Elephas maximus indicus: one gene and its partners. The main gene of each other region encodes a partner of the protein of the gene in region 2 in a complex. Links are inferred from orthologs where the notes say so. Each region holds a gene or a part of one and is shown on either strand. Other genes may lie near its edges.

Region 1 (7,551 bases), on a different chromosome or scaffold from region 2:
TTAATATAATTGCCTCTAATGCTGCTTCATTAACATCATAGAGGTAGGATTTACAACACATAGGAAAGTCATATCAGATAACAAAATGGTGGATAATCACACAATACTGGGAATCATGGCCTATGCAAGTCGATGCACATTTTTGGGGGACATTTTTTAATTCAATCCATAACATCCACCTTGTGTCCCCTCCCCAAGAGCAAGGAGCTGTGTCTGTCTTGTTCAATACTGTGCCCTCCCTGCCAGGTACACAGTAAATTCTCTATAACGAGTTGTTGAATGAGTGAACGAACTACCCAATCCTGGATGTCTTAGTCATCTAGTGCTGCTGTCACAGAAATACCACAAGTGGATGGCTTTAACAAAGAGATATTTATTCTCTCACAGCCTAGTAGCTACAAGTCCAAATTCAGGGTGCCAGCTCCAGGGGAAAGTTTTCTCTCTCTTTTGAGTCTGGAGAAAAGTCCGTGTCATCAATCTTCCCTTGGTCTAGGAGCTTCTCCACGTGGGAACCTCAGGTCCAAAGGACAGGCTCTGCTCCTAGCACTGCTTTCTTGGTGGTATGTGGTCCCTCTGTCCCTCTGCTTGCCTCTGTCTCTTATATCTCAAAAGAGATTGGCTTAAAACACTATCTAATCTTGTAGATATCATCAATATAACTGCCGCTAATCCATCATAGTGATAGGATTTGCAACATATAGGAAAATTTCATCAAACGACAAAATGGTGGACAATCACACAATACTGGGAATCATGGCCTAACAAAGTTGACAGATATTTTTGAGGGACACAATTCAATCCATGACGGTGGGTCTGAACCATTCTTTCTCCTTCCTTGATTCCCAGGTCCTGCCTACCTCAGCTCACACCCCATCCCATTCTGAGCTTCAGTGTCCCTGTCTCGCCAGAGAGGAGTACTTAGAACTTTTCTTTTGGGAGTCAGGGTAAGAGGCTTGTGGTGGTGGCCCATGTCAAATGTCCCTTCTGGTTCTAAGGGGTCATGAGGTGCCCCAGCCTGACTGGACCATGAAGAGGCAGAGGAGGTCCACAGATATTGCTACAACCAGCCAGCAAGAGAATAAGAAGGTCTGTGGTTTCTGCAGTGGGGTGCCTCCCCCTCCACCCAACTCAGATTTGCATGCCAGTCTGGCCCTCACCATGTTTTGGCCCCACGTGTAGCCCAGTCATACCCCTAGCCTTTGCCTCTACTGCTCCTCCCAGCCTTGCTTTCTTGCTTCTCTGCCTGGTGAACTCCTGTTTGGCCATTAAGAGTTCAGTCTTAAAGTCACCTCCTCTGAGAAGCCCTCTCTGACCTCACTCCAGGTAGAGTTCTGGCACCTTCCTTGGCCTCATGCTCATGTGTCTATTTATAGCATCCCACATCAGGTTTTGTGATTCTTAGGCTGTTTGTCAGGCTCCCTGACTAATCCATAAACTCCTTGGGTGCCCGGGAGGCCTGCATTGGACTGGAGTCACTCCATGGATGGCTGTGGTATTCTTTCCTTTCTTGCTTTGCTCATTTCTCAAATACTTATGAGGCACCCACTATGTGCCACCCTGGGCTATGGCTCAGGAATGCAGCAGGGAGTGGGGTGGGCAACATTTTTGCTCAGGAGAGGCGGATGCTGTAAGGGAGTGAGCCAGATTAAAAAACAGTGAAGAAGACTGGCATTGGCAGGGTGGGTGCTGGGCAGAGAACAAACAATGATGTCAGGCCATGACTGGGGAGGCTGCTGGGGAGAACTGAGGGAATCATGGGGGAAAGATGCACCAGGCAGAGGGGACAGCAAGCAAAGGCCCTGAGCCAGAATCTGTATTGGTATGTTCTTGAGGTGAAATGACTAGCTCAAGTGGCCCATTTGAAATAGAATGCTCCAGGCCTCTTTCTTCCCTGAGCACCCAGAGTGGAACAGCCTGGATGGCTTCCTGTAGGAGGTGGCTCACAGTGTGTCCTTGAGCTTACCTTTCCTGGGCAGTTAGTGTGTGCCAGGCCCTGTGCCAGACACTTTCAAGCATGACTTCAGGGAGATCTTACTGTCCCTGTGGGACAGGTAAGTAAGCTGAGGTGTGGAGCTGTTCAGTGACTTGTCCAACATCTGGAGTTGGGAATTGAACCTGTGCCTGAGTCCAAAGATCAAAATTTTCCATCCCATTGCCTGGAAAGCGTATGTTATGGGTTAAATCGTGTCCCCCCAGAATGTCTGTCGATTTGCTAGCCATGATTCCTAGTATTGTGTGGCTGTCCACCATTTTGTGATCTGATGTAATGTGTTGTAAATCCTACCTCTGTGATATTAATGAGGCAGGATTAGAGGCAGTTATGTTAATGAGGCAGGCCTCAATTGAAGGTTGTATCTTGAGTTGATCTCTTTTGAGATATAAAAGAAAAGTGAGCAAAGAAGAGAGGGACCTCCTGCCACCAAGAAAGAAGCGATGGAGCAGAACATGTCCTTTGGACCTGGGGTCCTTGGGCTGAGAATCTCCTAGACCAGGGAAGAGTGATGACAAGGACCTTCCCCCAGAACCCGCGGAGAGAGAAAGTCTTCCCCGGGAGCCTGGGCCTTGAATTCAGGCTTCTATCCCCCTAGACTTTGAGAGAACAAAATTCTGTTTGTTAAAACCGTCCATTTGAGGTATTTTTGTTATAGCATCAGTAGATAACTAAGACAGTGAGCCAGAGATGCAGGAAGAGAATAATGATAATTATAAGGCTGCTTCACATCCTTCCTTATCTCATCTGGCCCTCCCCACTGGTGTGGGTGGGGCCCTGTGGGGTCGCCTCTGTTTTACAGAAGGGCAAGCAGAGGTCAGCCCCCTGCTCCAAGTGTTTTCAGCAGACCTGTCTGCTGGAGTCACAGGAGACCCCCATCAGGCAAGCCCACACCCATGCCTGCCCAGGGCAATGACTGACTCCTTTAACTTCTGCAGGGCCTTCCTGCCTCTCTAGCCTGTGGCTTTTCATTCTGGGCACTGGATGCCAGTGCCAGCTTGGTTGGTGGGGCCTGAAATCCCCTGAGGCTCCAAGTGGGAGCAGAAGGGAGAAGATCCAACCAGCCATTATAGATGAGCAGATAGGGCCCCAAGAGGGGAGGGGAGAGGACCAGGCCAAAGTGCAAGCCTGGATAAGAGCTTGGTCACGGCCTACTGAACTGAGTAACCCAAACCAAAAAACCAAACCCATTGCTTTCGAGTAGATTCCTGCTCATACCGACCCTACAGAACAGAGTAGAACTGCCCCATTAGGTTTCCAAGGCTGTAAATCTTTACGGAAGCAGACTGCCACATCTTTCTCCTGTGGAGGGGTTGGTGGCTTTGAACCAATGACCTTTCAGTTAGCAGCTAAGAACTTTGACCACTGGACCACCGGGGCCCCTGAACTGAGTAAAATGAATTGAGAGGTGCCACTCGACTCCCTTATACTCAGTTTCCCCATGTGTAGAACGGGAGAGGGGTCGGGTAGTAACGACAGCAACCGTTAAAGCTACTTTCCTTGCCTCTTAGCCAGCGCGGTGTCGCTCCCCCCGCACCCCTACACCCCACGTTGATACCGGCTGGAGGAGAGTGCATGTGTGTGGACGCGTGCAGCCCTTCCTATTCACTAAACAAATGCGTCCTGAGCGCCTGCGGACGCCTGTTCCGTCCTCGCGAGCAAAGCTCCGTGGCACGGGCTGCTGTCGCACTGTTTTACAGAGAGAGAAACGGAGGCTCAGGGTTATCGCCTGAGTCACCCCAGGTAATCCCCGCTGGAAAGGTGCAGTCAGGACGTAAAACAGGTTTCATCGGGGCGCGCTTTAGCCTCTCCACAACACCCTGTCTGCCGCCGCGCTGGGCCCCGGCCGGGTTGGCCGGCCGCGCTCCGAGATCTCAGGGTTTTCCCAGACAACACACCCCAGGTCGCGCCCCTGCACCTGGCGCGCTTGGGTAGGCTGGGGAGGGGGCGCTGCACGCGGGCTGACAGGTTCCCGGGAGGTGGGCGGGGCTTGGCTCTTGACAGGGAGCGGGAGGGTCCCGGCTCTGGACCCAGTAAAGCAGAGCCTGGCTGGGGCCTAGTTTCCCGGGCGGAGGGCGGGCTTGAAAGGCAGTGGGCGGGGCCTGATTCCGGGTGAACGGAGGTCTAGGCCTCTTGCTTGATAGACGGGGCGGGGCCTGGCGTCTGACGGGTCCCGAGACGCGCCTTGGAAACTGGTGGCCAATCAGCGCGCCAGGCAGGGCCTAATGCCGAACAGCCTGAGGCCGGGGCTCGGAGGTTCCCGGCGGGAAGTGAGCGGTGCTTGGTTCTTGACAAGCAACGGCAGGGGCCCGGCTTTAGAAAGAAGGGGGCGGAGCCTGGCTCGGCCCCGTTTCCCGGGTGGTGGGCGGGCTTGACAGGCAGTGGGCGGGGTCTGCAGCTGAACAAATGGGGGGGCGAGGTCTTGTGCTTGACGGGCAGGGGCGAACCTGGAGTCTGATAGGCTGCGGAGCGCGGCCTGGAGACGGAGGGCCAAACGGCGCGTGGGGCGGGGCCTGCGTCTCGGCGCCGTCTAGCTCGGCCCCTGAGGCTCTGCCCAGTCTGGCTACGGCGCCGCCCGCCGCGGTCGCGTCCTCCCACCGCCGCCCGTTTGCCCCGTCGCGCCCGGGCCGCCTGCCCGCCCGCCCGCAGCCATGAGTCCGTGCGGCCCCGACCGAGCCCGCCACCCCCTCGAGTAGGCCTCATCGCCGCGCCGCCGGCCCGCCTGCACCATGGAGTCGCCCGCCTCGAGCCAGCCCCCCAGCGCGCCCCAGTCCAAAGGTAGGAGCCAGCCGGGACCCGCGGTCGGATTCCCGCCCCCAGGCCGGGCCCGGGCCTGCCTGCAACCCTGGCCTCCTTGGGGGCCCACCCATCCGGAACTCGACAGCGCCTCAGGTTCTCAAGTCTGTCCAGTCCCGGATCCGACGCTGGGCTGGACCTCTTCTGACCCCCAGTGTGGACCTTGGGGCTGCACGCAGGCCTGGGAGCTCCCGGGGCTGACAGAGGCTGGGACCGCACTCTGACCCCCTCTCCTGTCGGGAATCGGGAACTCTCTCTGACCCGCAGAGTGGGCCTTAGGGCTGCATCCTGACCAGGGGACTCCCAGGCCGGGGTCCTTAGCGGGACCCAGGTGGGCCGCACTCTGCTCCCACCTGATCCCTTGGCTGTGTCCAGGTTGGTATTTAACTTTGATCCCTCCATCTGGACCTCAGTGAGTTCCCCTGCTGGGACCTTGCTGCATCCCCACCCCAGGCGGGTACGCTGGCTACACCTCAGCTCAGAACGGCCCCTTCACTGGCTGGCTCTGTCCCTGTGGGCCCCCACATTGCCCCATCCTCGCTGGCTGCACCGGGCTTCTCCCCAGATGCTTCTGCACCCTGCCCTACACCCCCCACCCTGCAACGCTGGTTCCGGAACCACTCTAGGTTCCTCGTTAATCTGTGGCCACTCTGAGGCCCCCACCCCCTCTGACGTTCGGCCCTTCCTCTCCTTGCTCCTATTGTACCCTCATGTGCCCGGCTCCACACTGGACCCATGGCTTCACTGCCAGGCACCAGGCTGGTTGCTGCCAGGCCTGTTTCGCCTGGCGGCCCGTGGGTCCTGGGCCAGCTGCCAGACCAGGGTGCTTACCTCGAAAGGGGCTTGCTCTGTCTTTTCCAAGTCGCAGGCCTTCCTGGAAATTTTTGTGAGGTGGCGGCCAGGCGGGATTTGTCATGCAGAGGGGGGAGGACGGGCCTGGAGGGCAAAAAGGGGATTTTTTTGCAGGAAGAGGAAAGGATGTTTTGGTGTGTCAGAATCTCAGCAGACTGGGCCGTGTGAGAGATTTCCAAACCGGACATAGTTGTGATGAATGGGCCACCTCCCCCAGCAGGCCTTTTAGTGCCTCTGGGCCTCAGTCAAAACCAGGGTAATCACACCTTCCTTCCACAGACGTGGCAGGGGGCACGGGTGCTGTGATGAGAGGTGATATATACATATGACAGTGCGTGTAAAGAGGTGGAAAATGTTGTGAAGAGCTCAGTGCAGTGCCCAGCACATAGTAGGTGCTCAGGAAGGGACAGGGCTGTGCGTATTTCTATTGTTGCAGTTTTTATTTTTAGAAAGGCCTCAGCCATGCAGGGTCAAGGACGTACCTCTGTTTGAATTGCAACTGTGGGGTGAAGCAGGTCACAGGAGCAGTTAGTGGTATCCTAATCAGTGCTGGAGGGGCCCGGGCTGTGGGAGGCTGTGTGGGGTCCGGGGGCGGGTGTGGCCCTGCCTGGCCCTGCTGCTGGTGGCTTCCATGGCTGTGGGCCAGAGCCCAGCTGGGTGGGCAGAGTAATTATGTCTTACATAAGTGGGAGGCTGGATCCCTGACCATTGCCCAACTGCGGTGAGTAACTTGGGAGGCACTCACTGGGGGAGGTGGCAGGGGAGGGGCACGCTCTGCACAGACCTCATGGAGCTTGGGAGCCGGTCAGCAGGACACTCCCCACTCAGGAGCGTGGTCTGGGCTGGCTTTGTCATGGCACACTGAGTTTTGCTAGCCTGTGCGCTCCTGGGTTGGAGGAACTTATCGGAAGCAATGTGTGTTTGGAGGCACTTTCAGCTATTCAAGGCAGGGGTGCCTCATCAAAATAGAAGTTAGAATTACAGGGCTGTGAAGGGAGAGGGGGCATGGGTGATGGGCAAAGGCCGGTGGGGAGGGACCCTGCTGGGTAACTTGAGGCTGACGCTGCCCTCTCTGGGCCTCTGCAGGGAGGCTAGGGTGTTGGTCTATCTGTGGATACAGGGAACAGGCGATGTGGGAGGGTTGGGCAGAAGGTCAGGGGCCTCCCCCATCAGCCTTTTTGGGGTTGGCACAGGATGTTGTGCCCCTTCTCTTTTCCATGTGCCATGCACCCTCTCATTTATGCTTCTCAGCCTGCGACCTCATTTTACAGATAAGGACACTGAGGTTTGGAGGCATTAAGTGCCTTGCCTGAGGTCCCCAAGCCAGGATGGTTGGAGCCAGGATTCTAGCCAGGACTGTGTGTCTGCTGTGTGGTCTCCCCCATTTGCCCCCACACCCCATTCTCATGCTGGATGCTTGAGCCCTGTGTCAGGGGGCATCTCCTCCTGGCCAGTCCCAGACGTGGAGCACAGAGTGAGGCAGAGGCCTTGCCTTTGCATGCATGCACAGCCCTTTACAGTTGGCACATGGCACACTCACTGCAGTCTGACTCATTTGACAGATGACACAACTGAGGCCAGACGTAGGAGATGCTGGACTGAATCCACAAGGTTGGGGTCCTGACCCAGTACCCTTCACATCCTGGGCACAGGGCCCCTAGCACTGAGCTCTTCTCAGTTTTCTCAGAAGAGCTGGAACAGAACAGGGAGGGGTTGGCATTTGACCTTGAAAGAGCTTTACCTTTGAGCTTCCGTTTCACCCTCCCTGTACTGAGATTCTCTCGGCGCCCTGCTGGTGGAGGGTTTTCCATGAATGCAGAAGGTCCCCCGACCTCCTTGCCCACATATTGCTGTCTTTCTGGCTGGTGGCTCTCGGGACAGTGTGCAGGGGCACGTTTCATAGCACGGCCTGG
Region 2 (7,171 bases):
TTTTTCTCAGTCTCCTTAGCTGGATGCTAAAGTCCGGGAGAGTTGTGAATTTGTAATCTCTTCTCCAGGTATCACTGTCTCTCTAAGTGAGCTCACCTGATCTTATAGCTTTAAATATCAGCTACATGGTGATGGGAGCCCTGATGGTGCAGTGGTTAAGAGCTTGGCTGCTAACCAAAAGGTCAACAGTTTGAATCCACCAGCTGCTCCTTGGGAACCCTACGGGGCAGTTCTACTCTGTCCTATAGGATCACTATGAGTTGGAATTCACTCGATGGCAATGGGTTTGGTTGGGTTTTCATGATGATGGGCCTGGTGGTGCAGTGGGTAAGCACTCGGCTGCAGTTCGAATCCACCAGCCAGCTTTGGAAACCCTATGGGGCAGTTCTGCTCATTCGTATAGAGTCGCTGTGAGTCGGAATCAACTTGACGGCAACAGGTTTGGTTTATATGGTGATATGAGTTCCTGGGTAGTGCAAACAATTAAGTGCTTGTCTGTAAACAGGAAGATTGGTGGTTTGAGTCAACTGAGATGTGCCTCAGAAGAAAGGCCTGGTGGCCTTCCAAACAGTCACTGAAAACCCTGTGGAGCACAGTTCTACTCGGACACACACAGGGTCACCATGAGTCAGTCTACTCAACAGCAAGTGGTTGGGGTTTATATAGTAATGATGCCCCAAATTTTATTTCCCGACTGCCTGCTAGACATCTTCAGATAGATGTCTAATCAGTATCTCAAATTCTAAAAATACAAACCAGATTCCTGATCTCCCTCTAAAGAGCTCCTGCCACCAGCTTCCCCATCTGTTGATGGCAGCTCCAAACTTCCAGGTACTTCAAGCCAAAAACCTCGGCATCTTCCTTGACTGCACCCTTTCTCTCACACCCCATATCCTATTAACCCTAATGTCAAAAGAGATCCCAAATCTGAAAATCTGGTAATTTCTCACCACTGCTATGCTGCACCCTAAGCTCCATGGCCTCGCCTCTGAATAGCAGCTGGGGTCGCCTCGCTGGTCTTCCCCTCTGCCCTCACCGCCCTGGTCTATCCTCCCCCCCACAGCCAGGTAAACCAGCTAAACCCTAAGTTAGAGCAGCTGCCTCCCTGCTCCAGTGGCCTCCGTCATATTCAGGGTACAAAGCAACACCCTTACAGTGACCTTCCAGCCTTACACATTGGACGCCCCCTCTCCCAACCCTCTTGAACTTATTTCCTACTAATCCCCCTCCCCCACTCTGCTCCAGCCAGCCACACACACTGGCCTCCTTATTTCTAGAACAAGCCAGGCTTGCTCCCTCCCATCATGCTTCTGCCTCAGGGCCTTTGCACATGCCCTCCCTCCCCCCAGAGATCCACAGAGCTCACCCCTCACCTTCTCCAAGGCTTTGCTCAGTGGCCACTGTCTTGAAGAGGCCTTCCCCAACTACGCTATCTAAAACTGCAATATCCAAGCCCAGCACCTCCTGACCCTCTTTCCTGCTTTGTTTTCTCCGTAGGACTTCTCACCACCTGACACACTATGTATGGACTTATTTGATCGTTGCCTGACACACTCCTGGAATGTGAACTCCGCGAGGAACGGGGAGTTTTGTCTGTGTGCTTCATTGCTATATCCCCCATGTCTCATTCAGTGCATCAATAAGGATTTTTTGAATGAATGGGTGACTTTACTTTGCAAGGTTCCAGGAGGCACAGGTGGGACCCAGGTGGAAGCCGCACCCTGCAGATTTTGGCTAAATGTCAGGAGAGCCGCAGGACTCAGAAAAGGCACCTTGTAAGTAGGGAGCTCCCCGCCACCGGCATGTGCCACAGAGGCTGGGCCAGCACTCAGCTGGGATTCTGCACTTGGTGGGCGGGGCTGGAGGCCACAGTGAGCTAAGGTCCTTTCTGCCTCAGATCCCAATACACCAAGAGGCAAAGGGGCCTTGAGTGACCAGCAAACCAGCAGAGTGATAGGAGAAGGGTCGTGGGAGTGCCTCTCCAGTCTCTTTCACCAAGGGCCAAGTTAGGGGTACAGTAGCGGTGCTGGGGAAGGCTTTTGCCCTCTGTGCAACAAGGACCTTGGAGGAGGCTAGGCCACAGCCCATGGGGAGACAGAAGCTTTGGGCAGGGAGATGTCACAGGGCTGGGAGACAGCAAGAGAGGCAAGGGCAGACTCAGAGCCAGGGGTCCAGCTGCCAGCCCTCCTCCAGCTAAGGGAGACCCTCCCCAGGGGAGCTGGGGAGGCTTTTTTAGTTTGTGGGAAAGCTGGTAGGACCGGATGGCTGCTCCACCAACACAGCGGCAGAGGGGAGGGCATATGGCAGAGGGGAGGGCTCTGGACAAGCCTGGAGTGGGCCTGTCTGGGCAGGGGTGGGGGATGAACTGGGGTCTCACACCCACGGAAGGGGGTGGGGCAGAGGACGCAGGGACTCTTACGAGAACTAAAGAGCCCAAGGAGGTGTTAGGGAGCAGCTAGGCAGACTCACAAACACTCACAGGCTTGGTAAAGTTGGGGAAACTGAGGCCCAGAAAGAGGAAAGGACTGGGCAAAGAGTGGCCCCCACTGAGACCTGAAGCTGTTTCTGATTCCCATACCCAAGCGGGGCCCTGTGCCTCTGGCCTTCACATCCTCCCGCCCACCAACCACGCGACTCCCCAAGTCAGCTGGTCCCCTAATCTCAAAGGTTCCTGGGGGCTCTCGGACGTCCTCTGTAGCCGCAGACCGCCTGGGGGCTCCCCGCCCTGGAGACGCCTCCTTTCCTTCCGCCCCCCATCTACTCCTCAGAGCTCACCAAGGGGAAACCGAGGCAGCCCCTCTACAAACCCAAAGGCTGGGACGGCTCTGGAGCCAGGTGTCAGACTCGGGAGGCGGGATCCTCGGCGCCCACCGTCTCCCCGCCGCCCAGGTGTTGGGCGCAGGTGCGCAGGTAGCGCGCCCTGAGCCAGCACTCACCGCAAAGCCGCCGGTGCCCGGTTCCTCGACCCCGGCCTGGGCCACGATTCCGGCTTCGGTTCGGGCTCAGGCTGCGCGGGCGCCCGGCTCCGCCCCTGCGCTCCCCACTCCGCCCTCCTCGGCCCGAGCGGGCCGCACCCCCTGGGAGTGCCCGCCTCCCCGCCGGCAGGAGCTCACCTAGGCTGGGTGACTGACACCGGCTGGGAGAGCCGGCCAGCGTGTATCTCTCTTCCGTCACATTTGAACTAGGAGACGGACGAGGGAGTCTTGGAACACCCCTCCAACGCGCGCGCACCCACACACATACACAGTCTCACAAATGCAGTCACACACACACTCTCCCCCCACACAGAAACACACTGTCCCACACACTCGCTTACACACTCTTACAAACACATAGTCACACACACTCGCCCACACACACTGCCTCTCTCTGTCTCTCACACACACACACACACACACACACACACACACGGTGGTATCCTGTGAAATGAAAAGCTGTTGGTGTCAGTATTAATCAGTGCACCTTCAGGCAGTCAGTAAGTCCAAAAGAAAGAAGAGTCAGTAAGTCCACAGCCATCTAAAGCCTTAAAATTGCAAAGCTCAGTTCCCTGAACAGCGTTTCCGGAGTGTGATGGGTTACATGTTAGGTGACCCTGAGCCAGGCATGACATAGAAAGGAGTCATGTGACGGTGAAGTTCCTCTTTTTTCATTTTTCTTTCCATCTTTCTGTTTAAGTCCAGGAGAGACATCTCCGTTTAGTGCTCCTTGTCTAACACTGTCTAGTCTCCTCCACTGGCCACAATATCTGACTAGAATTTGATACCGCGGATTTGTTTTCATTAACTGTTTCTCAGAGCAAGTGACCTGGTTTTCCACTTAAGGTATTAATATAAAAGTTCCTTTAAAAACACGTGCATTTGCCCGGCTACCACCCGTGACCATCCTGACAGGGAACACAACAGAGAGTCCCTGACGGAGCAAGAGAAAAGTGGATGCAGAACTCAAGTTCTAGTAAAAAGAACAGACTTAATGGTCTGATTGAGACTGGAGGGACCCCAGAAGACATGGCCCCAGGACTTTCTGATAGCCCCAAACTAAAATCACTCCAGAAGCCAACTCTTCAGACAAAGATTAGACTGGACTATAAGACATAAAATGATATCTGTGAAGTGCATGCTTCTTAGCTCAAATACTTACATGAGACTAAGTGGGCAGTTCCTGTCTGGAGGCGAGATGAGAAAGCAGAAATGGACAGGAGCTGACTGAATAGACACGGGAAATACAGGGTGGGAAAGAGGAGTATGATGGCACATTACAGGGAGAGCAACTAGGGTCACATAACAATGTATGTATAAATTTTGTATGAGAAACTAACTTGAACTGTAAACTTTCATTTAAAGCACAATTAAAAAAAACATGCATTTGGATTTGTAAAAAATGTGAAGTCGATTTAAAGAAATATAATGGAGACAACTAATTTTACAGAGTGTTTACTAGGTGCCAGGCTTTAGTACAAGTATTTATGTATTATATGAATACATAGTTGTTGTTTTAGGCACTGTCTAGTCGGTTCCAACTCATAGCGACCCTACATACAACCAAACGAAGCACTGCCCGGTCCTGTGCCATCCTCACAATCGTTGTTATGCTTGAGCCCATTGTTGCAGCCACTGTGTCAATCCATCTGGTTGAGGGCCTTCCTCTTTTTCGCTGACCCTCTACTTTACCAAGCATGATGTCCTTCTCCAGGGGATGGTCCGTACTGATAACATGTCCAAAGTATGTGAGACGAAGTCTCTCCACCCTTGCTTCTGAGGAGCATTCTGGCTGTACTTCTTCCAAGACAACCATTAGGGAAAAGTAAATCAAAACCACAACGAAATACTACTTGCCCCACTAAGATGACTATAATCAAAAAGGCAGGTAATAGCAAGTGTTGGCGAGGATGTGGAGAAATTGAAACCCTTCTGTGTTGCTGGTGGGAATGTAAAATGGTACAGCTGCTGTACAAAACAGTTTAGCAATTCCTCAAAAAGTCGAATACAGAGTTCCCGTACAACTGAGAGATTCACTCCTAAGTGTATACTCAAGGGAATTAAATACATGTTCACTCAAAAACTTGTACAGGAATGTTCATAGCAGAATTATACTTAATATCAGAAAGTTGGAAACAACTCAAATCTCCATCAACTGATGAATGGATAAACAAAAGGTGGTATATCCATACAGTGGAATACTATTCAGCCATAAAAAAGGAATGAAGTACTGATACACACTACAACATGGATGAACCTTGAAAACATTAAAAGAAAAAAAAAATTTTTTTTTTCTTACACTGAGTAAAAGATACCAGACACATAAGGCCACATATTCTATGTTTCCACTTATATTAAATGTCCAGGTTAGGCAAATCCATAGAGACAGAAAATAGATTAGTGGTTGCCAGAAGATGAGGGTAGTGAGAGTAGGGGGTGACAGCTAATGGGTACAGGGCTTCTTTTTCATGTGATGAAAATATTCTGCAGGTAGTTAATGGTGATGGTTTCACAACCTTGTGGATCCACTAAAAACCACTGAATCGTACGCTTTGAAAAGGTGAACTTTATGGCATATGAATTCTAGCTCCATAAAAAAAGTGGGTTGTCCACCAGGATCAAAGGAGAATGAAAAACACCAAGGTCACAAGATAACCATGAGCCCAAGAGACAGAAACGGCCACATGAACCAGAGACTTACATCATCCTGAGACCAGAAGAACTAGATGGTGCCCGGCCACAACCGATGACTGCCCTGACAGGGAGCACAACAGAGAACCCCTGAAGGAGCAGGAGATCAGTGGGATGCAGACCCCAAATTCTCATAAAAAGACCAGACTTAATGGTCTGACTGAGACTGGAGGAATCCCGGCAGCCAAGGTCCCCAGACCTTCTGTTGGCACAGGACAGGAACCATTCCCGAAGACAACTCATCAGACATGGAAGGGACTGGTCAGCGGGTGGGAGAGAGATGCTGATGAAGAGTGAGCTACTTGTATCAGGTGGACACTTGAGACTGTGTTGGCATCTCCTGTCTGGAGGGGAGATAGGAGGGTAGAGAGGGTTAGAAACTGGAAAAATTGTCACGAAAGGAGAGACTGGAAGGGCTGACTCATTAGGGGGAGATCTCGTAAGTGGGAGTATGGAGTAAGGTGTATATAAGCTTATATGTGACAAACTGACTTGGTTTGTAAACGTTCACTTAAAGCTCAATAAAAATTATTAAAAAAAAAAAAAGTGGGTTGTAAAGTGTTTCGTGTAGTATGCTCCTATTATGTTATCTGTAACATAAACCTATTAATATATGCATTGAAAAATCCAAAAGATTATCCTTTCAAATTCATGGTTGGGTTGTAAGTGGATTTTTTAGCTTTTTATTGTTGTTGTTAACCTGTATTTTATGCTTAACCTGTGTATAGGCATACACCGTTATTGTTGTTGTTGTTAGTTGCTATTGAGTCAATGCTGGCTCACAGCGACCCCATTTGTGCAGAGTAGAACTGCTCCATAGGGTTTTCAAGGCTGTGACCTTTTGGAAGCAGTTCACCTGGCCTGTCTTCCAAGGCAACTCTGGGTGGGTTCAAACTGCCGACATTTCTGCTAGTTGAGCACTTAACTGTTTGTGCCACCCAGCGCCTCCAAGCATGTGTTACTTGCAAAATAATAATCTTCAGAAAGCTTTCTCTTCAATGAGCTAAGGAGCATCTCCCTGGCTGCAGAGCCCTATCCTAGAGATGGCAATTGGGATCCTAGTGACTTTTCTGCCCACAGGTTCTCTGTCCTGGGTACCGGGGGGACAAAGCCTCCGGGCCTGGGCCTTTCCTCTTCTAGGGAAATCTTCTAGGTTGTGACATTTAAAACTCTCCGGGGCGGGGTGGGGGGAAGGTTGGCAGAGGAGCAGGTTTGCCGGCTACCTGTGCACGAGAGCTGCCCCCAGGAGCCAGGACTGTTTCCAGCAGACCCAGGCCCAGAGCCAGCTGCTGCCAACCCAGAAGGTGACCCCAGGCTTGCACTAGGTGACTGTCTCTCTGCCGGTCTCCTGTTCCAGGCAGCCCAGAACAGGCCCCTCCCCACCCACCAGAGTCCAAACTCCTGTACAACCAGGCCCAAATGAGTGAATTTGGGGATGATCTTCCCACTACCCACTCTCAGCCACACCAGCTTCCTTACGGCTCTTGGTATCCCTACCTCTGTGC
Region 3 (7,953 bases), on a different chromosome or scaffold from region 2:
TCAGACCTTCAAGAATGCTTTTAAGTCATGTAAAAATGTATCAAAATTATTACAACTACCAAACCAAAAACCCACCGCCATCAAGTTGTTTCCAACTCATAATGACCCTATCCAAGTAATACATACACACTTATTGCCATGGAGTGAATTCCAACTCAGGGCAACACCATGTGTTACAGAGCTGTGCTGCACAGGGTTTTTATGGCTGTGATCTTTCGGAATCAGATCACCAGGCCTTTCTCCCAAGGTGCCTTCTGGCTAGCAGCCAAGCAGTTTGCTCCACCCAAGGTCTCGGCACCTACTAAATGCTGGATACTGTACTAAGTACCTCACATAGTTTCACTTATTCCTAAGAACACTGCAAAGTATGTTACTATCCTTACAGAGCAGGAAACTGAAGCTCTGAGAAGTGACATACTCAAGGTGACACTCAACGAGTCAATGGAAGTGTGGGGATTTGAATTCAAATCTACCTAGCTCCAAAGAATGTGCTTTCTTATAAATTGTTCTACCTCCAATTTCGCATTGGAGAATTGGGCAGTGATGTGAACGGATGTGTTCAGTGGTCTTAATAATTTCACCAAGAAGAGGGAAAAAAATTCTAAATCGGGATCACCTTTTGAAATCCACAGTGCATTATTTAAACCCCACTTCTTGCCAAGAGACAATCAGCAGATAAAAAAAAAAAAGTTTAGAAGTCCTTTTAATGTAAACTAAACTTCATCACAAGTGAACTACCACTTTGGACAAGTCCCCGGGGGTTAGTGGCTCTCTCCTGTGTGCACTTCCAGCACACTGCACACCACCGCCAGCTCGTAAAAAAGCACCTCACCCAGTTCACAGGCATACTCAACACTAGTACTGTCGGACTCCTGGCAAAGAGGATACAAAGCTTTTTAAATAAGGCCCATCACAGCCCTTATGGAGTTAACAGACTAGCCAAGGAGCCCATTTACACTTACATGTACAGTTACCACTTAGTCAAACAAACGAAGTGTGAGAAATCCCAAAGCAAAAGTATGTATAACATGCTATCAGAGCCCAGAGGAGGGAAGCAACCAGCCTACTTGTCATCTTATGCTGGAAGGAGTGTTTGTTTACATTAAGTCCCTCCTTGACAACCCCTTCCAACCTGTCAATCCAGGATCCCACGCCCCCACACACGAACACTCACACAATCGTAGAGTAGGAATTGTCGCTCCTAAATGTGACTTTGCTGTAGTTTAAAAGTATTAATGCCATAAGATAATTTTTCTTTAGCTTCATCAGATGAAGAAGATTGGTTTCTCAAAGCAAAATGAGGCCAAGCAAACCTGAAAAATCCAAGAACACTTCTCCACACTGCCCACTTATCATGAGAAATCAAGGCAAACTAACATACACGGTATTTCTCAAATTGTCTTTTTAACTTATCAGATGCTCAAGAGACGATACAACAACTGAAATTGAGACACTTCCACTGCGAATTTCACAGGCATTTAAGCTAATTCCATCTAGGGCATTAAAACATAATTATTTGTATAAGCCAAATGAGAAAAATTCGGTGGAGTCCATGTACCCAAAACTAGACATCAAGGCTTGTACTTAATGCGATCTGCAAATCCCCAAGAGACCACGGAGTGCAAGAACAGTGATTTATCTCAGCCGATCATTACGCCTTTACAAACTTGCAAAAAATGACCTTTCAAGAACTGCAGCATTTGTTCTGATCTGGGCAATCCAACAGTTTAGAAAAACTGAATAAGCTGCTGCTTCTAAAAATAAGGGAGGAGGGGGAAGCATACAGCTTTTAACTTTAGTTATAAATGCCTAAGGCAATAAACTCGCACAGTAAGGAGTATAAAAGCTAAAAATGAACACCAAAATATTACTCAATCTAACTTTCATGGTGAATTCCTGAGTTCACAGTAAGGTCTAGAAACTTAAATGCAGTGGAACTGATCTGTTTAAATAATTAAAAGAAAAAAAACTATTTTTTTATTTAATAAAAAAACTGTTTTCTTAGTATTTTTCAACTCCTCACCAACTGGAAGGCTTTGCAAAACAAAAAGTGTCAGCGAGCCATATTTACATAATAAAAATGTTTTCTTCGGGCTCAAAGTAGGGCTGTGCTCTAGCCTGGAGGAAAGGCGAGCCCGTCGCACGCTCCCCGGCCGCTGCCGTCACCGACGCGCGCGGGTCGGGCCGAGCGCCCCGAGGGCCCCCCCACACCCCCAGGCGGGCGCAGCGCAGGGCGCGAGCGCGGCCCGACGTGTTTACTCTCCGTGCGCCCCGGGGAGCCGCTCCCCTCCCGCCGGGAGCACTTGTTCGCGGCGTCGCTGGCGACCCCGGGGTAGCCCGGCCTCCGTCGGACCGGCGCGATCCACCGAGCGACCGCATGGGTGCCGGGGCTCCTCGCGCTCCCTGCCCCGGCGGCGCCGGCCCGGAACGCCCGGGGGCTCGAGGCTCAGGCCTCGCGGCGGGGCCCAGGGGCGCCCGAGAGGCATCGGCGACCGTACTGGGCCCCAAAGCGGGGCCGCGGGGTGAGGAGGCGCGCCTCGGCCCGGGAGCAGACAATGCGGGAGGAGAGGGGCTGCGCAGGGAGGAGGGGTCGGCGGGGCCGGGCCGCTGCCCGCACCGCCCATTCATCCCTCCAGCCGGCCCAGCCCTCCGCCCCCGGCCCCCGCCCCCCTCCCGGCCCCCGCCCCGAGCCAAGCCGCAGGGGAGGGGCCCTCGCTCCTCGCCGGGACCACTCCTCAAATCACGAAAGTTCCCTCAACTCGGCCAACTCAGTTGCGCTCTCACCGTGCGGCGCCCGGGGCTCCCCCGAGGGCCGAGCCGGAGCAGCTCCGCACCTTCGCCGCGGAGAAAGACAATAGGTGGCTGCTCCCCCGGCGGCGGCGGCGGCTGAGGCGGCGGCAGCCGAGGCGAGAAACGAGCACGGCGGTCCCGGCGGCGCCCAGACGCTTCACCGCGGCTCCTCCGGCTCTGAGCTGGCCCCGCACACAGCCCCTGACCGCCGGCGCATGCGCTACAAGCCGCCCGGAATGGGCGGAGACCTGGGGAGGACGGCACCGCCTACAAGCCCTCCTGGGCCGCCGGGGAGCGCGGAACCGAAGGCCTCAACTGGGATTACACGGCAGAGGTGCCCATCATAGTCCGTGCGACCAATAGGAAGGCGCCTGGGCGGTGCGCTCAGGTTGCTAAGGCAAGCTGAGGTTGACTGCCGCTGCTGAGCCGCGGCGGCAAAGTCATCAAAGTAGTGAGGCTGGCAGAGGCTGCCTGGGAAATGCCCACGCACCACATCTCTGAAAAAGCTCCCCGCCCTGTCTCCGGAAACCGCCCTTCCTCTGTGCGCCCGATGCTTACCTGAGCTGTAGCGCTTAGCACACAAACCGAAATGATTTACCCTTCAACCTCCCCCCGCCCTTGAAATCAGGAAGTGCGGTTTAGTCTTCTGTGTCCAGCGCTCAGGAGAGTCATGGCTAGGTGTGCAGCCAGGCTTGTCTGGATGGATGGATGGATGGACGGACGGAGGGACGGACGGCGGTGTGATGGTGTCACAACTGTGACAGTGAACTTTTGGCAACTCCATCCCACAAATTCATACAGTCTTCAAGTTTGAAAGGACCGCAGAAATCATCTGGTGCTTTTGAAAAGCTACAATCGGTGTACCAGTGGTAGTCTAGGAGACAATAAGTTGGTACGCGAAGAAACTTCTTTATTTTGATAGGTATGTGTTTATTTTGATGTGCTTTGGGGGGCGGGGGGATATGCCGAGCACGTCGAACCATTATTTCACTGTTATTATTTCTTAGGTAGGAGCCCTAGTGGTGCAATCGTTAAGGGCACGGCTGCTAGCCAAAAGGTTGGCGGTTTGAACCCTGCAGCGGCTCCGTTCTTGGGGAAAAAAAGACCTGGCGATTTGCTCCTATAAAGATTACAGCCTAGGAAACCCTATGGGGCAATTCTACTCCGTCATATAGGGTCGCTGTGAGTCGGAATTAATTCAGCAGCATACGTTTCTTGGTCAAGTGGCCCAAAACCAAACCATTTCCTTCCAGTCAATATATTTTCTTGGTTCACGATCACATAGTGGTAAAAACAAGGCCAAACATCCCCAGTGTCCTAGTCTCCTAAAAAGTAAGGGGCTATCCTAGAAAATCACTTGGACCCTAACTTTTAATAATCTCAAAGCCTTCTCTTAGAGCCTGGCTGGTCTGATTCGGAGGTGGCAGCAGCAGATGGTTACCATGTCGTCTTTCTTGTGACTGCTGACACCATTCCCTGTTTCCTTACCCCACCCCAGCAGGATTTACACCTTTCCAGTGGGCTACAGAAAGGGTTGAGAGGCCGACACTTTTCAAAGTTTACTATGCCTATGGAACACCTGGGAGATTTTGGTAAATGTGAATTCTGACTCCGTAGGTCTGAGGTGGGCTCTGGGATTCTGCTTTTCTAACAAGCTCACAGGGGTACTGATGTTGCTGGTATGCGACCTCACTTTGAGAAGCAAGAGTCTACTCTAAATTCCCCAGACCACTGAGCTCTCTGTCTTTTGGCGGGAAGTCTGAATAGTTATTTGCATGACTGGAACTTTCTCATCATTCAGGCCTCAGCTTAAAGGTCTTCCTCAGAGAAACCTTCCTTGACCACCCTGTAAAAAAGAACCCACTCAATGAAGTTCAGATACATGCCACAGTATGGGTAACCCTGGAAAACATTATGCTGAGCAAAATAAGTCAGTCACAAAAGGACAAATACTGTATAATCTCACTTATATTAAATAACCAAAAAAAAAGTTGCCATGGAATTCCAATTCACAGTGTCCCTAAAGGACAGGGTAGAACTGCTACATAGGGTTTCCAAAGCTATAAATCTTTACAGAAGCAGACTGCTACATCTTTCTCTCATGGAAGCATATATAGAAACCAAAAACTATTAGTGGTTCCCAGGGATGGGAGGGAGGGGGCAAGAGGGAATTTTTGCTTGGGAGGCAGTAAGTTTTCATTAATGGTGGTAAAATAATTTGGAAAAGGGTAGTGAGATTGGTTATACAACTTGAGGAATGTAATCAATGTCACCGAATTATACTTGTAGAAATTGTTACATTGGTATATATTTGGCTACGTATATTTTCATCACAATAAAAAGAAGAAAAAAAAGTAGCCCATTCATACCTAATTCCTCTCTTTATTTTGCCCAATTTTTTCATAGCATTTATCCCAATATGAAAGTATCTTATTTATCTTGTGTGTTTATTTGCTGGCCTGGGCTCCACTATAATGTAAGTATAACGTAAGCTCCCTAAAGTCTGTTTTTTATCCTCTCTCTCTATAGGGTCGCTATGAGTCGGAATCAACTTGACGGCAATGGGTTTTTTTTTTTTTTTGGTTCTCTCTCTCTCGTACCTACAGCAGTAGGAACTCAATGAAAGTTTTGCATGAATGAATTAGTACAGAAAGAGCTACTGTGAGGTGTCCTCAAACTGAATGTTCCTGACACTAAAGATTTGTTCTTCCAAGTTGCACCAAGGATCTCTAAACAGCTCCATTTCACCAGAAAGATTTCAGATTTATCATTTTCCATGAGTAAACAATTCTACCACTTTCCATGAGTAAGCTTATAAGCCAGGAAAGATACCAGGGCCTAAGAAGCATGGCAAGATTTTTTGTCTCTGAACTGTCTCTCTAGTTGACTTATATCTAATTGATCTGCCTGGTTTATAATACTTAAAAATGTAACAGGGTTACACCCCATTTTACAGAGTACCTAAAAATGCCAGTGTACAAAAAAAAAAAAAACAACAGTTATGAGAACATGCATTTTCTTTGGACCCATGTTTTATAACATGTCCACTTTTATGAAAGAAAAGGCACTGAGAACAAACAACATTTTATTGCTTTTGTGGTAGAACTAGTACCCTGATGTTGCTTTGTGGGAACTTTTACCTTCAGCCCCTGCTTGGTATTAGGCAAACTTCACTACAGCCCCAATTCCATGGCCTTAGCACGTGATCAGATCGGAGTACATCAGAGCATTCTACCTGTAGGCCACTTCTACTTCAGAGGTGGGCACGTGACCCCAAACAGGCCAATCAGGAGCAATAGGAATAAATTGTATTCTCTGTTTAAACTATTAAGGTAGCAGACTTTGTCTTCTTCAGTGGAACCTGGGAGGATATGCTTGTCAGCCAGCTTGTCATTTTGAGGAAATAACCTCTCTGGGAATGGAGCCATCACAGTGGGAAGGTGAGAGAGATGAAAAAAAAAAACATCTTGGTGACAATGGTTGAACTGCTAAATCTAGCCATACCTAAAGATAAAACAATACATAGACTTTTCAACTATGTAAGGCAATAAAACCAGGCAGAGTAGATGTTACAGTCACTTACATCCACAAGAGCCCTAATTAATATGCCATCCATGAGCTGATGATCCCTGGTTAATTCCCTTACCTGCTTCTCAAGTCATTCAGCAAATAGCCCTTGAAAGTGTACTGTGTGCCAGGCGTGAGGCTTGGTCCCGGGGTTGAAGATGAAGAACAAGGTTCTGCCCTCAATGAGCTCACAGTCAAGTGAGGGAAATAGACAAGTAAACCAGCAAGAAATCAAATGTGTTAATGCTCTTAAAGACGCAAGCACAGAGTGCTGGGAGCATAGAGGAGGAGCACTTTTGCCTAGAAAGAAGGTAAAAGGTCAGGGAAGGCATCCTGGAGGATGTAACAGCTAAGCTGAGTCTTAGCAGACAATCACATTAAACCAAGTAAAGGAGAGTGGGATAGTAGAGGGGACTTGGGAGTGTTTGCACAAGTAGCACATTCCCAGAAACAGGAAGAGCAAATTTAAAGACATGGAGGTATCAGAAACTCAGCAGAAGAAATTGGAGAGGGGAAGGGGTAGGAGGTAACACTGGGGGAGGGTAGCAGCTACCAGGTCATGAAGGGCATAGCATACTGCCCTGCTGAGTAGTACAGCCTTTATTCTGAGAGGCCAGGGGGAGCCCTCAAAAGGTTTTAAGCAATGGGACAACAATGAGAACAGATTTTCATCTTACGAAGATCACACTCTCACCGTATGCTTCACCAAAACCAAACCTGTTGCTGTAGTTTGCTGTGGAGTCAATGTCAACTCATGGCGACTCCATGTGTTTCGGAGTAGAATTGTACTCCATGAGGTTTTCAAGGACTGTGAACTTTCAAAATCAGATCACCAGGCCTTTCTTCCAAGGTACCTCTGTGTAGATTCAAACCACCAACCTTTCAGTTAGTAGCCAATTACTTAACTGTTTGTACCACCCAGGGACTCCTACCATGTGCTTAGGGGGCACTGAAGTGAGGCAAGAGAGTGGGGCCTAGAGGCAAGGTACGAGGGAGTCTCTGAGAGAATCCTGACTACAAGCGGAAAGTTTCACAGTGTAGATTAAGTTTTCACTTCTTGGGTAGCAAAGGGAACCTTCTTCTCTCAATGTCAAGCCCAACGCTGTCCAATAGAAATATGATGTGAGCCACATAATTTAAAATTTTCTAGTAGCCACATTTAAAAAGTAAGAGGAGACAGGTGAAATTAATTTTAATAATATTTTCTATCCCAAATATTATAATTTCAACATGTAATCAGTGTAAGCCTTTATTAGTGAGACATTTTATACTCTTTTTATCATACTGTCTTCAAAATAACTCAATGTATATTTTATACTTACGACACATCTCGAATCAAACTAGCTGCATTTCAAGTGCTCAAAAGTCACCTGTGACTGGTGGCTACTGTACCGGAAAGGTCGGGTCTGGTTAGTAGATTCTGGGGATTCGTTCCAAACCTCAACATGTACCCAGGGCTGTAATCCCTGTACTCTACCTCTGTCACTTGCATGACCTCATTTATTCCTCATACCAACCCTCAAAAAAAATCTGTTGCTAACAAGTTGACACTGTTCTCCCCTTTGACAAGTAATACAGGCTTAAACCAAAAAAAAC
Region 4 (7,078 bases), on a different chromosome or scaffold from region 2:
GAATCTCTGGGTATTTATGCAACAGAATGTAAGTTTCTGGGTGTTGTCTAGGTGTTGCTGAGATTGCGTGTGTCTCTAGATACTGATGTGACGTGATGTGATGTATGTGAGTCTTTGTGTGTCACTGGGTGTTGGTGAGACTGTGTGTGAGAGTCTTTAGACATTGATGTGACGTGTGTGAGAGTTTTCAAGTGTTGTCTGGGTGTTGGTGAGATTGCGTGTGTCTCTAGATACTGATGTGATGTGATGTGATGTGTGTGAGTCTTTGGGTGTCACTGGGTGTTGGTGAGACTGTGTGTGAGTCTTCAGACATTGACGTGACGTGTGTGAGAGTTTTCGGGTGTTGTCCAGGTGTTGGTGTGGCAGGATGCAGGAGTCTCTGAGTGTTCATGTGACAGTGGATAAGTTTTTGGGTGCTGGCTGGTGTTGGTGAGGCCATGTGTGTGAATCTCTGGAGGCTGGTGTGACCGTGCGTGAAAGTCTCTGTGTATTCACGTGACAGTATAAAGCCTTTGGGGTGTCATCCAGGTGTTGGTGTGACTAAGTGCATGAGTGTCAGGGTGTTGGTGTGACAGCAGGTACATCTCTGGGTGCCGTCTGGTTGTTGGAATGACTGTGTGAGACCGGGTGTTGACAGCATGTACGTCTGGTTGTCGATGTGAGTCTTTGGGTGTCAGGTGGCTATGTGGACTTCGCTCTTTGCTATGACTGTGTTTGGAGACTCAGAGTTGCTGTGACAGAGTCTGTCTCTCTGAGGCCAGTGGAGATGGTATTGAACCTCTCGTGCAGGCCTGGCTGCGAGGGCAGTGGGGGCACACCTGGGTAGTGGGAGCCCCTGGAGTCCTGCATCCCCAGCCCCGGCTCACCACGGGCAGCAGTCGCAGGGTCGGGCAGCACCACGTGGGCGTGCAGCTCCTGCAGCTGCTGGTGCAGCAGGTCGAGGCGGCGCGAGGAGCCACGCAGCAGCAGCTCCACGGGGCCCAGGTTGCGACCTAGGTCAGTGGTGGCCCGCCTCAGGTTCTCCGCACCCTCCTTCAGCTTCAGCTCCTTGCGGATCTCTCGCCGCAGCCGCTCACGCTCTAGCTCCAGCTGCTGCTGCACCCCAGGGGCTGCCAGGTCCGCCCCTGCCAGGCCCAGCTGTTCCAGCAGGGACCAGTTGCGCGACTCACTCTGCAGGATGCAACAGGGTCAGTGGGGGATGGCTCTGGGATGCAGACCACCTTAGCCAACCTGGGCCCAGCCTCCTTAGGTACCCCCAAAGACAGAGCCTGCTCTACCTCCTCAGAGCCCCAAAACTGGGAGGTGAGAGCAGGGCCCTGTCCCTGCTTTCAACTCCCTCAAACTGTGAGGGCCCAGGGCAGGGCCTGCTCCCTTCCCCCATCCCTACAGACTAGGGGTCCCCAAGGGACAATCTTGTCTCTCTTTATCTATTCCTCATGCGGTGGGATTCTGGGAAGCAGACCCCACTGCCCCACTACTGTCCCCCCAAACTAGGGGGTCTCGAAAGTAGGCACTATTTCCCCTCTGCTGTCCCCCAAAGTAGGAAGTCCCAATAAGTGACCCCATCTCCTTTCTACTGTTCCACCCCAAATCAGAAAATCCCTAGGACAGGTCTTGTGGCCCTACTGCTATCCCCCATAAAGTAGGAGGCCGTGAAGGTAGCTCCCATCTCTCATCTGTCCTCCCCCTAAACTAGGAAGTCCTGATTACAGACTCCATCTCCTCTCTGCTGTTCCCACAAACTAGGAGGTCTCGAAGGTAAGCCCCAATTTTCTCTGCTGTCCTCCCAAACTAGGAGGTCTCAAGGGAAGACCCTGCCTACCCTCTGCTGTCTCCTCCAAACCAGGAGGTCCTGAGGTGAGGCTCGGTCTTCCCTCCCATTTCCCTACACAGGAGGTCTCAAAGGTAGACCACTGCCCCTCCGCTGCCCTCCAAACTAGGAGTTCCGGAGCAGAGGCCCCGCCTCCTTCCTCCTCTACCCCACAAACCTGGGAGCCCCAAAGGGCCGTAAATATTTCCTTCCTTCAAACTGAGAGCTCTGAGGCCAGGGCCCCATCTCCTTTCCTTGGTCTAAAAGTAAGAGGTGTGGAGGGCAAGGGCGCCATCTCTCACACACCCTAGCCTGTCCCATTTGGGGTCCTCTACCACCAGCCCACCACAGGTACCCGGCCCCCACCTCCAGCTCCTGGTCCAAAGGGGGACAGGGCTCCGCCATCCTGGGTCCAGGGTGAGGGCCCCGCCCTCTTCCTGAGCCTCAGCCCTGCCAGGGCCTCTCACCACCACTTCCTCTTTCCTGCCACCTCCCAGCACCCCCCGCGGCCGGCCAGCTCTGGGGCTCTGGGGCATCCAGGGGAGCTTCCCCTTAGCCCCACTCCAGGGTCAAGCCTGCTTCCCAGAGGCAACCAGGGGACTGTGCTCACTCCCTGTCCTGTGAAGGTGCCCAAGGTACACGGGTGTGCACTTCACTGTGTACATGGCAAACAGGCTTCCACAAGTGTATGCAGGCTCCAGGGACTGACTTGGATGTGTACATGCTCTCATATACCTACAGGTGTGCTCAAAAACACAGGCACACTCCCATGCCTATGGGTGTACACGTAGAACACAAGCTCCACGCATGTGTGCACACTCCCATGCCTATGGATGTGCACACAGAACACAGGCTCACACGTGTGCATACTCCAGTGCCTATGGGTGTACAGAAGGAACACAGGCTGAGTGCACATGTACATATCTACATGTCTGTGCACACAGCACAGACTCACAAGTGTGTGCACACTCCCACGCCTATGGCTGTGTGCACATAGAACACAGGCTCACACGTGTGCACTCTCCCACACCTGTGAGTGTGTTCATGGAACACAGGTTTCACAAGTGTGTGCACATTCTCACACCTACTCACATTTACACCTGCATGCACACACCTATGAGTGTGTACAGGAGTCACTGCAGAACCTGGACATACACACTTTCATCTGCCCGTGTGGACAAGCCTACACCCTCACACATGTACACATGCTCCCCACAGCCCCACAACCTGCCCACACTCCCAAGGGCCTGCAGCCCTGCTGACGGCTCCACGTGTCCCTCTGGCCAGGCCCCCCTGTCCCGCCCCCTGTCCCCGACTTCCCCTTTGGGGTTGGTACAGCAATTTCTGCAGAGGCGGGGCCCCTTCCTGCAGGCATAGGCTGTCTAACTTCCTGCTTCCTCCCAGTCCAGCTGCCCATTGCTGCTGACCACAGCTCTGAGGTCTGGGGACCCAGCCAGCCCAGTGCGTCTCCCTGAGACCAACACATTGTGGGGGACAGCACCGAGGGGTTAGGATAAGGAACAAAACCAGCAGCCCACAGACACTTGCTAACCACGCACTAATGCTCAGATACAACTATTAACCATAGTAGTTACTAGAAGCTCCACCCAGGTCAACTAATGCAACTCCTCGAGGTAGGCACTATTTTCACCACATCATCTAGATGAGGAATTAGGCCCAGAGGGTGCCGTAACTTGCCCCAAGGTCCCTCAGCCAGCAGGAGGCAGGCCAGGATTTTAAAAGGAACATCCAGTATCTGAGCACTGGCTAAGTGCTGCACCTGTGTTATCTCCCTCCACTCTGAGAACCCATTTCACAGATGAGGAAAGTCATCACTAGCTGCTGCTCAAACTCAAGGCCAGCTGCTCCCAAGAGAGGGTTTGCTGCAGGCCAAGACCACCCCTCGCAATAACCCTGAGTAGCTGCTATCATCCTCCCACTTTACAGGTGAGGAAACAGGCTTAGAGAGGTAAGAGCAGTTCTCAAGCAGGGGCAACTTCACCCCACCACCAGGGACACCTGGCAATGTCCAGAGATGTTTCTGGTTGTTACAACCAAGGGGTACACTACTGGCATCCAGTGGCTTGAGGCCAGGGATGCTGTTCAATATCCTATAACGCCCAAGACAGTCCCCCACAGCAAAGAACGATCCAGCCCCAAGCATTAAGAGGGCCGAGACTGAGAAAGCCTGGGTTAAATGACAGAGACTCAACCCCAGACCATCACTGCTCCTCAGTAGCTATCTGACAGCAGCCCCATCTGCCATGAGTGGCCCCGTATCTGTCTCTCTCCTCTGCAAACACCTTTTTTAGCCCATTTTTATAATGACAGAACGGAGGATGGAGGTTCAGAAAGGCAAAGGCACTGTGGCCAGGGCACACAGGAAGTGACAGCACTCACATACCCCCTCCCAACCAGGCCAGCCCCACACCCTCCCCAGCAGGCAGAGCAGGGGTACAGCCAGGAGCGAGGCCAGCTTAAATTGGGGAAGTCCAGGCAGAGAGGAGGAGTGCTGCTCTGGGCCCACCTCTGGCCACTGAGCCCTGAGAATAGGGAGGGAGGGCAGGAGGCCCAGCCTCCTGGGCCCTCCTCTCTGGGGTGACTCACTCCTACCCAGGGACGAGGGGTCACCTGAGGGCCAAGAAGGCAAACCCAGGACACAGGGGCCTGACCTGGCCTCAAAGAATCCCTGCTCCCCCTCACCCTGAAGCAGGAGGCTCCAAGCCGAGGGCACCCACTTCCCAGAACCCCCTCTCCCCAGAGCAGTCTGGGACCTAGACCCCCTTGTCTGGAGATTTCAATGCCTTGGGAGTTTCCGGAATCTGCACAGGACATCCGTTTGCCGGACACAGAATAGACAGGCACACATCGGGGAAGACAGAGGGACAGGGCAGCAGCCCAGGCAGCCACAAGAATGGAATTGTGGGGGGCGGGGGCAGAAAGCGGGGGAGCCAGGCACAGGTGGAGCCTCGTGGCAGGAATCACAGCCTTCATCTGGGTCATGTGTGGTACATGTCAAGCGCATGCACGCGCGGGGGAGGGGGGCTCCTATACAGCCCTCCTGGGCCGGGGGTGGAGGCAGGGACCTCGGCCCACCCCACCCCAAGGTCTGACCTTGTGTGATCGGCAACACCAGATACGCCCAGCTCCTCGGCAAGGCTGGCAGGCCATCAGCAGGACTGGGGGGGGGGGTATCATAGGGGATCATGGGGAGACACAGAGGGAATGGGGCAGGTGCAAAAGGAGATGAAAACCTGTTACACAGAGACCACAGGACAACCGACTGCATGGTGAGATGCTAAAGGGGCCTCTAGGCACAGGACATGTCTCAGACTTGGATCACTGAGCCAAAGAAAGTCGGAGATCAACCTGGCCCTACTTGTCCCAGAGGTGGAAGGTGAGTCCAAGGCAGTGATATCCTCAAGGTGGCACAGGGAGGCCAGGGGAGACCCTGGCTGGCAGCTTGGTGCCAGTCATGAGTGTGTGTATGTGTATACAGGGTGAACCTGCCCTGATGCCAACGGACGGCAGGTAGAATCCCAAATCCTGGAGCACTCCCTGTTGACCCGACACAGCCCACCTGGGTAAGGTCCCACCCCGCAGCCGGTACCCCGGAGATTAGGCTTGAGGGTCCCCCGTCCCCCCGACCTAATTAGGTGACTCGGGCATTTCTGCCAACAGGTGCCAATCTGGGTGGCGTCGGGACCATCGTAAATCTCAGTCCGGAGGCAGGGCCGCTGGAGCTTTGTTGTGCGGGGGAGGGGGAGGGGCCGGGCGGTGTCCTCCCTCCCCGGGCATCGCGCCAGCCACCTGCCCCAGGTGGAGAGCTGCATCTCCCGGGAACTGATCGCTGCGGAGGGGGAAGATGGGGGCCGACAGGTACCGGGACGCACAGCCAACCAACCACCCGAAGTCGCGCCTCCACCGCGCCCGCTCGGGTCCTCGGGGCCGGGCCGAGCTTGGGGTGCAGCGGGGCTCCTGGTCCTCCCTAACCCTCCCAGTCCGTACCTCCACCTGCAGAGAAGGGGGCCGCGCTGGCTCCGGGGTCCCGGCCCAGGGAAGGGGCACCGGGCGCTCGGAGGCCCCGCCCTGCCGTACCACTTTGGGGGCCCCGGCAGCCGCGGGCGGGGGTCCTGGCGCCGTCCGGCCGCCCCACCGCTGCCGACGCAGGTGCGCCTACCTGCACGGCGTCGCTGGCCATGTCCTCGCGCCGCCCGCCAGGGGTCCCCGCGGAGGGAGGGGCCGGCGGAGGAGCGCGCGTGCGCCCGGGCGGGGCTCGGAGGGGCTGCGCGGCGCGACCCTGGGCGCGCGGCCCGCTCCGGCCTGCTCGGCTCCGGCCTGCCCGGCCAGGCCGCCGCGTCCGCGCGCCGCGCCCTCGGGCCCAGCGGCCGGCCGCGTCACGTGACCGCCGAGGTCGGCGCCCGGGGAGGGGGCGGGGCGAGGGGGCGCGGCTCCCGGCGGCCCCTGGGGCTGTGGGGTCCAGCGTCTGCGCCCCCCTGACCGTCCCTCCCACGCTGGCCCTGCCGCCGGGTCCCGCGCTGAAGCGCGCGGGAACTTCCTCACCCTGCCTGAAGCAAAGGGCGAGCCGCTTCCAGCCGGGAGGGCCCTTTGGGCCTCCGGGGATCCCCTCGAAACCCAAAAAATAACAATAACAACTAACCTAACCCCTCCGTTTGCAAACTCAGGCCTCCTGGACCCATTCTGCTGAAGAGTCTGCCATTCAAGGGCACGGGAGCTTCCCCACTGCCCGAAGACAATCACGGTTCTGGACAGATCTGGGTTCAAATCCCTAAGGCTCAAGGACGACCCACACCCCTAAGGCGCCACATCTGAGGCATGGAAAGGGTTTACCCACTTCTGGGATTTGGTAAAATAAAGAGATAGTGCATGTCAAGTGCTGAGAACACAGTAAGCACTCAATAAATGTTAGCTGCTGTCATTTTTAATATTATTAGAAGGGGTTCGAATCTCAACTCAGCTGCTGACTCTAGGCCCTGTCGACCCTGTGGCCGCTGGGCCTTAGTTTCTCCCTGTAAAATGTGGACAAACCTCTTCTTGGGGGCCGGCTGTGAAGATTGATGGGGTCTGCAAGGAACCCCATATGCAGGTGGCGCTCCATAAATACGGGCTCTACCCTTGGGGAGAGCCGAGACCTCAGGGGAATTTCTCCAAGGTCCCCAGGATCCGGGCTCTGGGCTCCAGGCTTCGGGCCAGGAGCACTCCCTGGCGGTGGGTCCTGCATGCGGTCGGCGTCCTCCCGGGACCTGC

What was found.
Region 1: NOD2 (region 2) and MAP2K3 share a complex: the UniProt entries of both Homo sapiens proteins name them as parts of the signaling complex. The link is inferred for Elephas maximus indicus from reciprocal best matches to the Homo sapiens genes NOD2 and MAP2K3.
Region 3: NOD2 (region 2) and AKAP13 share a complex: the UniProt entries of both Homo sapiens proteins name them as parts of the signaling complex. The link is inferred for Elephas maximus indicus from reciprocal best matches to the Homo sapiens genes NOD2 and AKAP13.
Region 4: NOD2 (region 2) and PKN1 share a complex: the UniProt entries of both Homo sapiens proteins name them as parts of the signaling complex. The link is inferred for Elephas maximus indicus from reciprocal best matches to the Homo sapiens genes NOD2 and PKN1.

What each region holds. Positions count from the first base shown.
Region 1 is NC_064820.1:216,261,539-216,269,089, reverse strand, and holds the start of MAP2K3 (dual specificity mitogen-activated protein kinase kinase 3), read left to right. Parts: upstream 1-4,546; 5' UTR 4,547-4,719; coding exon 4,720-4,768; intron 4,769-7,551. UniProt on the Homo sapiens protein: Dual specificity kinase. Is activated by cytokines and environmental stress in vivo. Catalyzes the concomitant phosphorylation of a threonine and a tyrosine residue in the MAP kinase p38.
Region 2 is NC_064839.1:17,194,100-17,201,270, reverse strand, and holds the start of NOD2 (nucleotide-binding oligomerization domain-containing protein 2), read right to left. Parts: upstream 3,016-7,171; 5' UTR 2,937-3,015; intron 1-2,936. UniProt on the Homo sapiens protein: Pattern recognition receptor (PRR) that detects bacterial peptidoglycan fragments and other danger signals and plays an important role in gastrointestinal immunity.
Region 3 is NC_064831.1:80,886,822-80,894,774, forward strand, and holds the start of AKAP13 (A-kinase anchor protein 13), read right to left. Parts: upstream 3,020-7,953; 5' UTR 2,785-3,019; intron 1-2,784. UniProt on the Homo sapiens protein: Scaffold protein that plays an important role in assembling signaling complexes downstream of several types of G protein-coupled receptors.
Region 4 is NC_064821.1:33,038,743-33,045,820, reverse strand, and holds the start of PKN1 (serine/threonine-protein kinase N1), read right to left. Parts: upstream 3,018-7,078; 5' UTR 2,216-3,017; coding exon 2,177-2,215; intron 1,171-2,176; coding exon 867-1,170; intron 1-866. UniProt on the Homo sapiens protein: PKC-related serine/threonine-protein kinase involved in various processes such as regulation of the intermediate filaments of the actin cytoskeleton, cell migration, tumor cell invasion and transcription regulation.